Linked DNA regions of Saccharomyces cerevisiae S288C. The gene in region 3 interacts genetically with the main gene of each other region. Each region holds a gene or a part of one and is shown on either strand. Other genes may lie near its edges.

What was found.
Region 1: mutations in VLD1 (region 3) and GLC7 are lethal when combined (synthetic lethality), as found in Saccharomyces cerevisiae (one study listed by BioGRID).
Region 2: of VLD1 (region 3) and TDH3, changing one enhances a phenotype caused by changing the other (phenotypic enhancement), as found in Saccharomyces cerevisiae (2 studies listed by BioGRID).

What each region holds. Positions count from the first base shown.
Region 1 is NC_001137.3:430,660-434,575, forward strand, and holds GLC7 (type 1 serine/threonine-protein phosphatase catalytic subunit GLC7), read left to right. Parts: upstream 1-1,835; coding exon 1,836-2,012; intron 2,013-2,537; coding exon 2,538-3,299; downstream 3,300-3,916.
Region 2 is NC_001139.9:882,303-885,879, reverse strand, and holds TDH3 (glyceraldehyde-3-phosphate dehydrogenase (phosphorylating) TDH3), read left to right. Parts: upstream 1-2,069; coding exon 2,070-3,068; downstream 3,069-3,577. Other genes in the region: PDX1 (Pdx1p), read left to right, coding at 139-1,371. UniProt on the Saccharomyces cerevisiae protein: Glyceraldehyde-3-phosphate dehydrogenase (GAPDH) involved in glycolysis and gluconeogenesis. Catalyzes the reaction of glyceraldehyde-3-phosphate to 1,3 bis-phosphoglycerate.
Region 3 is NC_001141.2:379,206-382,314, forward strand, and holds VLD1 (Vld1p), read left to right. Parts: upstream 1-1,880; coding exon 1,881-2,609; downstream 2,610-3,109. Other genes in the region: SQT1 (Sqt1p), read left to right, coding at 1-576; GAT4 (Gat4p), read right to left, coding at 814-1,179; ribonuclease P protein subunit RPR2, read left to right, coding at 2,743-3,109. UniProt on the Saccharomyces cerevisiae protein: Component of the vacuole-localized DSC E3 ubiquitin ligase complex involved in the targeting of the complex to the vacuole membrane via the AP3 pathway to ubiquinate vacuolar membrane proteins.

The DNA.
Region 1 (3,916 bases), on a different chromosome or scaffold from region 3:
TAGAGGTTAATCTGTATTTGTGACTGGGCTCTGCCAAACTTACTATCTTCTATTATCTAGGCTCAAGTAAGTAAGATGAAAAAAAGAAAAAGAAAAAAAAGCAGAAAAAAAGCAGAAAAAACAGTAAAGTGGGTGTGAGTGCACTGGAAAGCCTGTGTAATAAGTTTTTGATGTACTGTATTCCTTGCGAGTATTATCACAAAGCTCTACTGTGTTTGCACTGTGGGCGTATAGGGATATCGCGAGGGCAACGCAAAACTAGCAAGATACACATATTCCATACATTAAAGCGGTAATTTTTAGTAGTTAATTTCGAAATTTCAAACCCGGCAATGATACGCACATTAAGAAAAGGGAAAAAAAAAAGAATAAATTGGCCATAGAAAAATTCTGTTATCCACTAGACAGAAGTTTGCGTTCCATACTGTCAGAGGTGGCATTTTACATAACAATAGTGACAAAAAATAAATTTCAGAAGGAAGGCAACATAAGTTTTTCTAATCCTAAAATCTTTCGATTTTGTATCAGAGATTGTTCACGCTAATGTCATTCATCATAGTAGATCATTTATCTTTCACTGCGGAGAAGTTTCGAACGCCGAAACATGCGCACCAACTTTCACTTCTACAGCGTTTGACCAAAATCTTTTGAACAGAACATTGTAGGGTGTGAAAAAATGCGCACCTTTACCGCTAGCCCAAGAGGGCACTACAAAATCTAGAGTTGTACTTCAAACGTACATGTAATCACCTTGTATATACTCGAAAGAAAACATCAAGTTTCTGTATAAATATGAGTGAAAGCATAATCATACATTATCTTTTCAAAGATGAAGAGTGGGTGAATTTTGAGATAATTGTTGGGATTCCATTTTTAATAAGGCAATAATATTAGGTATGTAGAAAGTACTAGAAGTTCTCCTCGAGGATTTAGGAATCCATAAAAGGGAATCTGCAATTCTACACAATTCTATAAATATTATTATCATCATTTTATATGTTAATATTCATTGATCCTATTACATTATCAATCCTTGCGTTTCAGCTTCCACTAATTTAGATGACTATTTCTCATCATTTGCGTCATCTTCTAACACCGTATATGATAATATACTAGTAACGTAAATACTAGTTAGTAGATGATAGTTGATTTTTACTCCAACAAAAGAATTACAGTCAGTGGCTGTTTGCTGACATTTCATTGCTTCCCTTACAACCTGATTTCCATTCGAGTTGAAAGGTTGAGAAAAATTGCAAGACTTCTCTCTCATCTACCTTCCCCTTTTCTTGAAGACAAGGTGAGAGACAATTTAGTACTAAAGCTTTTGCGGTTGTTATTCAATTGAGGTAGATACCTGGCAAAACATTTCTTGTGAGCACAACCTCAATTAAAGTTAGACAAGTAGGTGCACTATTGGTTGCTTGTTGGCTCATCTCGTTGAGGAATGTAATAACTACTTGTTATTAACCTGTTTTTGTGCCATCTATAGTGGAGAGCTTATTGCAATTTGTTTTTTATTTCTTGACTGCATATATCAGTCTTTGACAGGCTGCATGGGGATGACAGTTAGAAACTAGCCAAATTACCCCTTATGTAGATAACAATCATTGCTTATTCGCTCTTCCCCCATTTTTTTTCTTGCTCTTGCTGTTTTTTCTTTTAGCGTTCGTTTCAAGGAACAAGAGAGGGAAAAAAAAATCAAAAGTAGAAAAGAAGAAGAAAAAAACAACGTAACACAAGTTAACACCACAACTGAAAAAAAAAATAAGAGGTGAACGAACGAGTAACTGGGGAGAGGAAAGCAGATTACCACAATATACATTCAAATTAAAGAAATGGACTCACAACCAGTTGACGTTGATAATATCATCGATAGATTATTGGAAGTAAGAGGATCTAAACCTGGTCAACAAGTTGATCTAGAAGAAAATGAAATCAGATACTTATGTTCGAAAGCCAGATCTATATTCATAAAGCAACCCATTTTACTAGAGTTAGAAGCCCCAATTAAAGTATGTTAATGTTGAACTTCGCAGTCAAGAGATAGAATGCCTAGAGCTTCAGGTGTTTTATGTGTTCTACTCCTGTTGCGGCAGTAAGATAGTTACAGCAGTTATTTCCGTTTGACTGAAAGAATTTACCAAGCATCTGATGTTAGCCTACTCATATGTCGAGATAGCCGAGATAATGTGTGTGTTTAGCTCTTCATTTTTCTATCTTATTAGGCATTTTTTTACCAAGATTTCCTTATGTTTTGTATCATCATCCGGCCGGCGCCTCCCATATTCAGAAAAATCCCCCTTGCTCACACTAAAAAAAGAAGGCATTTTTTCGTTATGAAGAAAACGAATCTTTTTTTTTTTTGAGCCCGAGAGAAAGGTCGGACGAAAACCAAGAAATGTGGATTTGCAGAAGGCATTGGGAGAAATGAAGCGTTTTTGACAGCAGTAATTGTTCTCTTAAAGTCAACGGAATGAGCTAGATTTAGTGACAAATTCATTTACTAACTTATTTTTTTCTATTTTTTTTTTTTTTAGATATGTGGTGACATTCATGGGCAATACTATGATTTACTACGTCTATTTGAGTACGGTGGATTCCCGCCAGAATCTAATTATCTATTTTTGGGTGATTATGTCGACCGTGGTAAACAATCCTTAGAGACTATTTGTCTATTACTGGCTTACAAAATTAAGTATCCAGAAAACTTTTTCATTTTAAGAGGGAACCATGAATGTGCTTCCATTAATAGAATTTACGGGTTTTATGATGAATGTAAGAGACGTTATAATATCAAACTTTGGAAAACTTTCACGGATTGTTTCAATTGTTTACCAATTGCTGCAATTATTGATGAGAAAATCTTCTGTATGCATGGTGGTCTCTCACCAGATTTGAATAGTATGGAACAGATCAGAAGGGTGATGAGGCCAACAGATATTCCCGACGTTGGCTTATTATGTGACTTATTGTGGTCAGATCCAGATAAAGATATCGTAGGTTGGAGTGAAAATGATAGAGGTGTTTCTTTCACTTTTGGTCCTGATGTAGTGAACAGATTTTTACAGAAACAAGATATGGAGTTGATTTGCAGGGCCCATCAAGTTGTGGAAGATGGTTATGAATTCTTTAGTAAAAGACAATTGGTGACACTTTTCAGTGCTCCGAATTATTGTGGTGAATTTGATAACGCTGGTGCAATGATGAGTGTTGATGAAAGTTTATTATGTTCTTTTCAAATTTTAAAGCCAGCCCAAAAAAGTCTACCAAGGCAAGCTGGGGGTAGAAAGAAAAAATAAATAGATTCACGTCCTAAATCAAAGTTTAAAAAGGAAAATACTTATTAACAAGAAGAGTAGTAGAAGAAAAATACAAGAAACATAAACGTAGAAAACTTTTAGTCAATTCTTTAAGCGAAGAATACGAAAGAAACATCAAGAAAACAAAGGAAGATGCAATCATCACTCGTCATATACACAAATAATTCCCTTTAGTGCAACAAACCGCGAAAAAGCATAAGAAACATAAAAAAAATATAAAAAAAAGGAGATAATAATAAGATGTGAAGGATTTGAATTAGTGGAAAAATGATAAGTCTACACTATTATTATTAACGAAATGCAATTTTTCTTTATTTTCTTTTATTACTATTATCATTACTATTATTATTAGTATTATTATTTTTTTACTTATTTTTATATTAAACTATGTTAAATTACTATATTATTATTTTGTCTAACTCTATATTGAGGCTGTCTTTCGTTGCACTGTTAAGAATGGTCACGTCTTCCTTTGGCTTTGAACCCTTTTATAAACAAGTTGGCCAAATCATTTAGTCAATCACGTCAACCTGTCTAAAATAAGACAGGTAAAAAAGAAAATGCCATCTCCTAGAATCGAACCAGGGTTTCATCGG
Region 2 (3,577 bases), on a different chromosome or scaffold from region 3:
GAGTAAAAAACAATTTATGAAAGGGTGAGCGACCAGCAACGAGAGAGACAAATCAAATTAGCGCTTTCCAGTGAGAATATAAGAGAGCATTGAAAGAGCTAGGTTATTGTTAAATCATCTCGAGGGAAAAATTCAAAAATGCTAAGTGCAATTTCCAAAGTCTCCACTTTAAAATCATGTACAAGATATTTAACCAAATGCAACTATCATGCATCAGCTAAATTACTTGCTGTAAAGACATTTTCAATGCCTGCAATGTCTCCTACTATGGAGAAAGGGGGGATTGTGTCTTGGAAATATAAAGTTGGCGAACCATTCAGCGCGGGCGATGTGATATTAGAAGTGGAAACAGATAAATCTCAAATTGATGTGGAAGCACTGGACGATGGTAAACTAGCTAAGATCCTGAAAGATGAAGGCTCTAAAGATGTTGATGTTGGTGAACCTATTGCTTATATTGCTGATGTTGATGATGATTTAGCTACTATAAAGTTACCCCAAGAGGCCAACACCGCAAATGCGAAATCTATTGAAATTAAGAAGCCATCCGCAGATAGTACTGAAGCAACACAACAACATTTAAAAAAAGCCACAGTTACACCAATAAAAACCGTTGACGGCAGCCAAGCCAATCTTGAACAGACGCTATTACCATCCGTGTCATTACTACTGGCTGAGAACAATATATCCAAACAAAAGGCTTTGAAGGAAATTGCGCCATCTGGTTCCAACGGTAGACTATTAAAGGGTGATGTGCTAGCATACCTAGGGAAAATACCACAAGATTCGGTTAACAAGGTAACAGAATTTATCAAGAAGAACGAACGTCTCGATTTATCGAACATTAAACCTATACAGCTCAAACCAAAAATAGCCGAGCAAGCTCAAACAAAAGCTGCCGACAAGCCAAAGATTACTCCTGTAGAATTTGAAGAGCAATTAGTGTTCCATGCTCCCGCCTCTATTCCGTTTGACAAACTGAGTGAATCATTGAACTCTTTCATGAAAGAAGCTTACCAGTTCTCACACGGAACACCACTAATGGACACAAATTCGAAATACTTTGACCCTATTTTCGAGGACCTTGTCACCTTGAGCCCAAGAGAGCCAAGATTTAAATTTTCCTATGACTTGATGCAAATTCCCAAAGCTAATAACATGCAAGACACGTACGGTCAAGAAGACATATTTGACCTCTTAACAGGTTCAGACGCGACTGCCTCATCAGTAAGACCCGTTGAAAAGAACTTACCTGAAAAAAACGAATATATACTAGCGTTGAATGTTAGCGTCAACAACAAGAAGTTTAATGACGCGGAGGCCAAGGCAAAAAGATTCCTTGATTACGTAAGGGAGTTAGAATCATTTTGAATAAAAAACACGCTTTTTCAGTTCGAGTTTATCATTATCAATACTGCCATTTCAAAGAATACGTAAATAATTAATAGTAGTGATTTTCCTAACTTTATTTAGTCAAAAAATTAGCCTTTTAATTCTGCTGTAACCCGTACATGCCCAAAATAGGGGGCGGGTTACACAGAATATATAACATCGTAGGTGTCTGGGTGAACAGTTTATTCCTGGCATCCACTAAATATAATGGAGCCCGCTTTTTAAGCTGGCATCCAGAAAAAAAAAGAATCCCAGCACCAAAATATTGTTTTCTTCACCAACCATCAGTTCATAGGTCCATTCTCTTAGCGCAACTACAGAGAACAGGGGCACAAACAGGCAAAAAACGGGCACAACCTCAATGGAGTGATGCAACCTGCCTGGAGTAAATGATGACACAAGGCAATTGACCCACGCATGTATCTATCTCATTTTCTTACACCTTCTATTACCTTCTGCTCTCTCTGATTTGGAAAAAGCTGAAAAAAAAGGTTGAAACCAGTTCCCTGAAATTATTCCCCTACTTGACTAATAAGTATATAAAGACGGTAGGTATTGATTGTAATTCTGTAAATCTATTTCTTAAACTTCTTAAATTCTACTTTTATAGTTAGTCTTTTTTTTAGTTTTAAAACACCAAGAACTTAGTTTCGAATAAACACACATAAACAAACAAAATGGTTAGAGTTGCTATTAACGGTTTCGGTAGAATCGGTAGATTGGTCATGAGAATTGCTTTGTCTAGACCAAACGTCGAAGTTGTTGCTTTGAACGACCCATTCATCACCAACGACTACGCTGCTTACATGTTCAAGTACGACTCCACTCACGGTAGATACGCTGGTGAAGTTTCCCACGATGACAAGCACATCATTGTCGATGGTAAGAAGATTGCTACTTACCAAGAAAGAGACCCAGCTAACTTGCCATGGGGTTCTTCCAACGTTGACATCGCCATTGACTCCACTGGTGTTTTCAAGGAATTAGACACTGCTCAAAAGCACATTGACGCTGGTGCCAAGAAGGTTGTTATCACTGCTCCATCTTCCACCGCCCCAATGTTCGTCATGGGTGTTAACGAAGAAAAATACACTTCTGACTTGAAGATTGTTTCCAACGCTTCTTGTACCACCAACTGTTTGGCTCCATTGGCCAAGGTTATCAACGATGCTTTCGGTATTGAAGAAGGTTTGATGACCACTGTCCACTCTTTGACTGCTACTCAAAAGACTGTTGACGGTCCATCCCACAAGGACTGGAGAGGTGGTAGAACCGCTTCCGGTAACATCATCCCATCCTCCACCGGTGCTGCTAAGGCTGTCGGTAAGGTCTTGCCAGAATTGCAAGGTAAGTTGACCGGTATGGCTTTCAGAGTCCCAACCGTCGATGTCTCCGTTGTTGACTTGACTGTCAAGTTGAACAAGGAAACCACCTACGATGAAATCAAGAAGGTTGTTAAGGCTGCCGCTGAAGGTAAGTTGAAGGGTGTTTTGGGTTACACCGAAGACGCTGTTGTCTCCTCTGACTTCTTGGGTGACTCTCACTCTTCCATCTTCGATGCTTCCGCTGGTATCCAATTGTCTCCAAAGTTCGTCAAGTTGGTCTCCTGGTACGACAACGAATACGGTTACTCTACCAGAGTTGTCGACTTGGTTGAACACGTTGCCAAGGCTTAAGTGAATTTACTTTAAATCTTGCATTTAAATAAATTTTCTTTTTATAGCTTTATGACTTAGTTTCAATTTATATACTATTTTAATGACATTTTCGATTCATTGATTGAAAGCTTTGTGTTTTTTCTTGATGCGCTATTGCATTGTTCTTGTCTTTTTCGCCACATGTAATATCTGTAGTAGATACCTGATACATTGTGGATGCTGAGTGAAATTTTAGTTAATAATGGAGGCGCTCTTAATAATTTTGGGGATATTGGCTTTTTTTTTTAAAGTTTACAAATGAATTTTTTCCGCCAGGATAACGATTCTGAAGTTACTCTTAGCGTTCCTATCGGTACAGCCATCAAATCATGCCTATAAATCATGCCTATATTTGCGTGCAGTCAGTATCATCTACATGAAAAAAACTCCCGCAATTTCTTATAGAATACGTTGAAAATTAAATGTACGCGCCAAGATAAGATAACATATATCTAGATGCAGTAATATACACAGATTCCCGCGGACGT
Region 3 (3,109 bases):
TTATTTAAGATCACACAGGCAGAAATCAAGGGATTAGAAGCTCCATGGATTTCCCTATCATTAGCTCCGGAAACTTTGACCAAGGGTAACTCGGGTGTCGTGGCATGTGGGTCCAACAATGGTCTTCTGGCAGTAATTAATTGTAACAATGGCGGTGCGATTTTACATTTATCTACAGTGATTGAACTAAAGCCAGAACAAGACGAATTAGATGCCTCCATTGAATCCATTTCTTGGTCATCCAAATTCTCCCTTATGGCCATTGGCCTTGTCTGCGGTGAAATACTCTTATATGATACAAGTGCATGGAGAGTAAGACACAAGTTTGTTCTCGAAGATTCTGTTACAAAACTTATGTTTGATAATGATGACTTATTCGCATCGTGTATCAATGGTAAGGTTTACCAGTTTAATGCAAGAACTGGCCAAGAGAAGTTTGTTTGTGTGGGCCATAATATGGGGGTTCTTGATTTTATATTACTGCATCCTGTGGCAAATACCGGCACCGAGCAGAAGAGAAAAGTAATAACTGCAGGTGATGAAGGTGTATCTCTGGTGTTCGAGGTACCAAACTGATAGATAGTCGCGTATACATAAATAACAAAAAAACAAATTCAATAACATAAAATAAAAATACTTTTACATACAGAAGAAGAAACTTTATATATTCGACAAAGGAAAATGTAAAAAAAAAAAACACATTATTTTAAAAGAACTGCGCTCATTATCGTCGTTAACGATTTTATTATTACATGTTGAACGTTACATTGTCTTTTTGTCCCGATAGGTTGAAAGCTGAAAAAGTATAATGGGTCAGAATCTGACAGTTCCGGTAAGTTCTTTGGGGATCCTTCTCTTAGTCCCGGTACCTTTAATTTGCTCCATGTATCTTTTAGCAGCTGCTCTACCGAAGCGCAGAATCAATTTTCTAAAAAACAACCCACAAGCATTACACAGGCAAGCAGCACCGTTAGGGCCCTCCCTCCATTGTAATGAAGTCTTAATCTCTCCACATTGCCCACATGTCCTAGTAATGCCCGTTCTTGGTCGAGCAGGCTGAGAGTCAGCGTTCCTAGGGAGGCCATGTTGTGCCTCTGATCCGCTATTCAACAGCAATTGAACGGGGACTTTTTTGAAGGCTGTTCCGTTTGAAATCACAATAGGCAACTTAGTGGACATAGCGACCCTGTAATGTTATGTTTCTAGCTAGGAACAGAAAGTGCCAGCTTTTTGAGCAGTTAAAGAGTAAAATGTTTATGTGGTTTCACGGACTTACATGTGAAAGACTAGCCTGGCGCTATCTAAATTCATGATGAAACTCGATGGCCCTTTCCATGGCACAAAAATCTTGACACATGGATGTGCGCGGCGGCGGTAACCGCACCAAGGAAAAAAGGGTCCAATGCCAAGAAATAATAAAACGGACCCTTTTTTCTTTTTTTTTGAAATAAAATTGAAAGAGAAATGCAAACACTTTTCAGGTTTGAAAAGAAAAGAAAACGTCAAGAATCTTACGCCAAAAGTGCCTAAGATTCAAGTATCTCTGAAAGGCGTACCATTTTCAACAAGGGGCATAGGTGGCCGCAAACTAGGATAATTGACAACTTAGTTTCATATTGACAATGTCATCGCAATTGAGGAGATAGCCATAATTCGGGAGGGTACAAAACCTGACCTGCTAGTGTTCAACTAATGCATCATGGGTACTATAGAGAGCATTCTAGTGGTAGAAAAAAAAAAAAAAACAAACTTTAAACCGGGTAATATAAACTTCTCATATGGCTTTTCTCCAGGGAAAGAAAGGGAAGGGATACTTCAATGACGAAGGCTTAGATGACAAGCTAATACAGAAAGGGAAAGGAGCAGGGCATCGGAAGGAAATGTTGCATTTGGAAGATGACAATGGACGACAAAGGTCAGTGATAGCGAATTTGCAGAAATTCGTTTATTGCTGCCTGTACTTGAGGTTTATCAAAGATGGATCATTATTCTTGATCCTCCTGGGGTGGATAATTTCATCGCTCTGTGATTTCATTCAGGAATTGACACTCAGGTACCTGAAGAAGAACTATTTAGAGGTGGGCCGCGACAATGATCAGGAAGATGATGAAAGTCTTGCCATCAGAGGGTTAGAAACACCTATTGTAAGAATGATAATAAACAAAGCCATACGATATTACCAAGGCCTAATACTTCTAGAAACAGCGTACTGTATAGTATACCACATTAGGCTAGACGTATCGAGAGACATATGTTCCAAACCGTACGGATTTGTGATAATGCTTTTGATAAGGGAATTTACTTGTCCGGTACCCACAGCGTTTCCTAGCAAGCTACTTCTGGTACTACTCGATATTTTATTACTTTTCTGCCAGATTGTAATAATAAACGGCTCACTGAGCTCGAGTCTTCAGAACGTGAAACTTATTGTCAAGGAGTTGAATGCAGAAGAAGAGGGCGCACTCAACATTCTCAAACTTAATACCTGGCACATGGATGCAACCGGACCGGAACTCATAGTACTCAAGAATCATGACAAGTCGATTCCTCAACAGGCAGACGGGGATGACGCTACAGAGATCACTCCTCTACTGAATATCGCCGAATAAATTCAAGAAAGGAAAAGAAAAAAAATTACCAAAATGAAAAGAACGGAAAAAAAAGATGAACAGAAAATAAAACAATACGTGGTTCTTCTACTGTCCTTCCCACATCGCCGACAGAGAAAAGACAAGCAAAAAGATGGGCAAGAAAGCACACGGAGGAAAGATGAAACCTGAGATCGACGAAAATGGTACTCTGCTAGTACCGCCACCAAGGACGATTGCGAACCAGGACCATTTCCATAGATTAAACTACCTCTACCAAATATCCGCTTACCAAACAAGAGCAAGACAGAAAGCAAGAACAGACGCACATACGCCTTTGGCACGCAATTATATCAAATCAATGGACCTAATTAGTAAGAAAACCAAGACATCACTGCTTCCTACGATAAAGAGAACAATTTGTAAAAAATGCCATCGGTTGTTATGGACCCCAAAAAAACTGGAAATCACATCCGACGGAGCGCTTTCGGTAATGTGTGGGTGCGGTACCGTTAAACGTT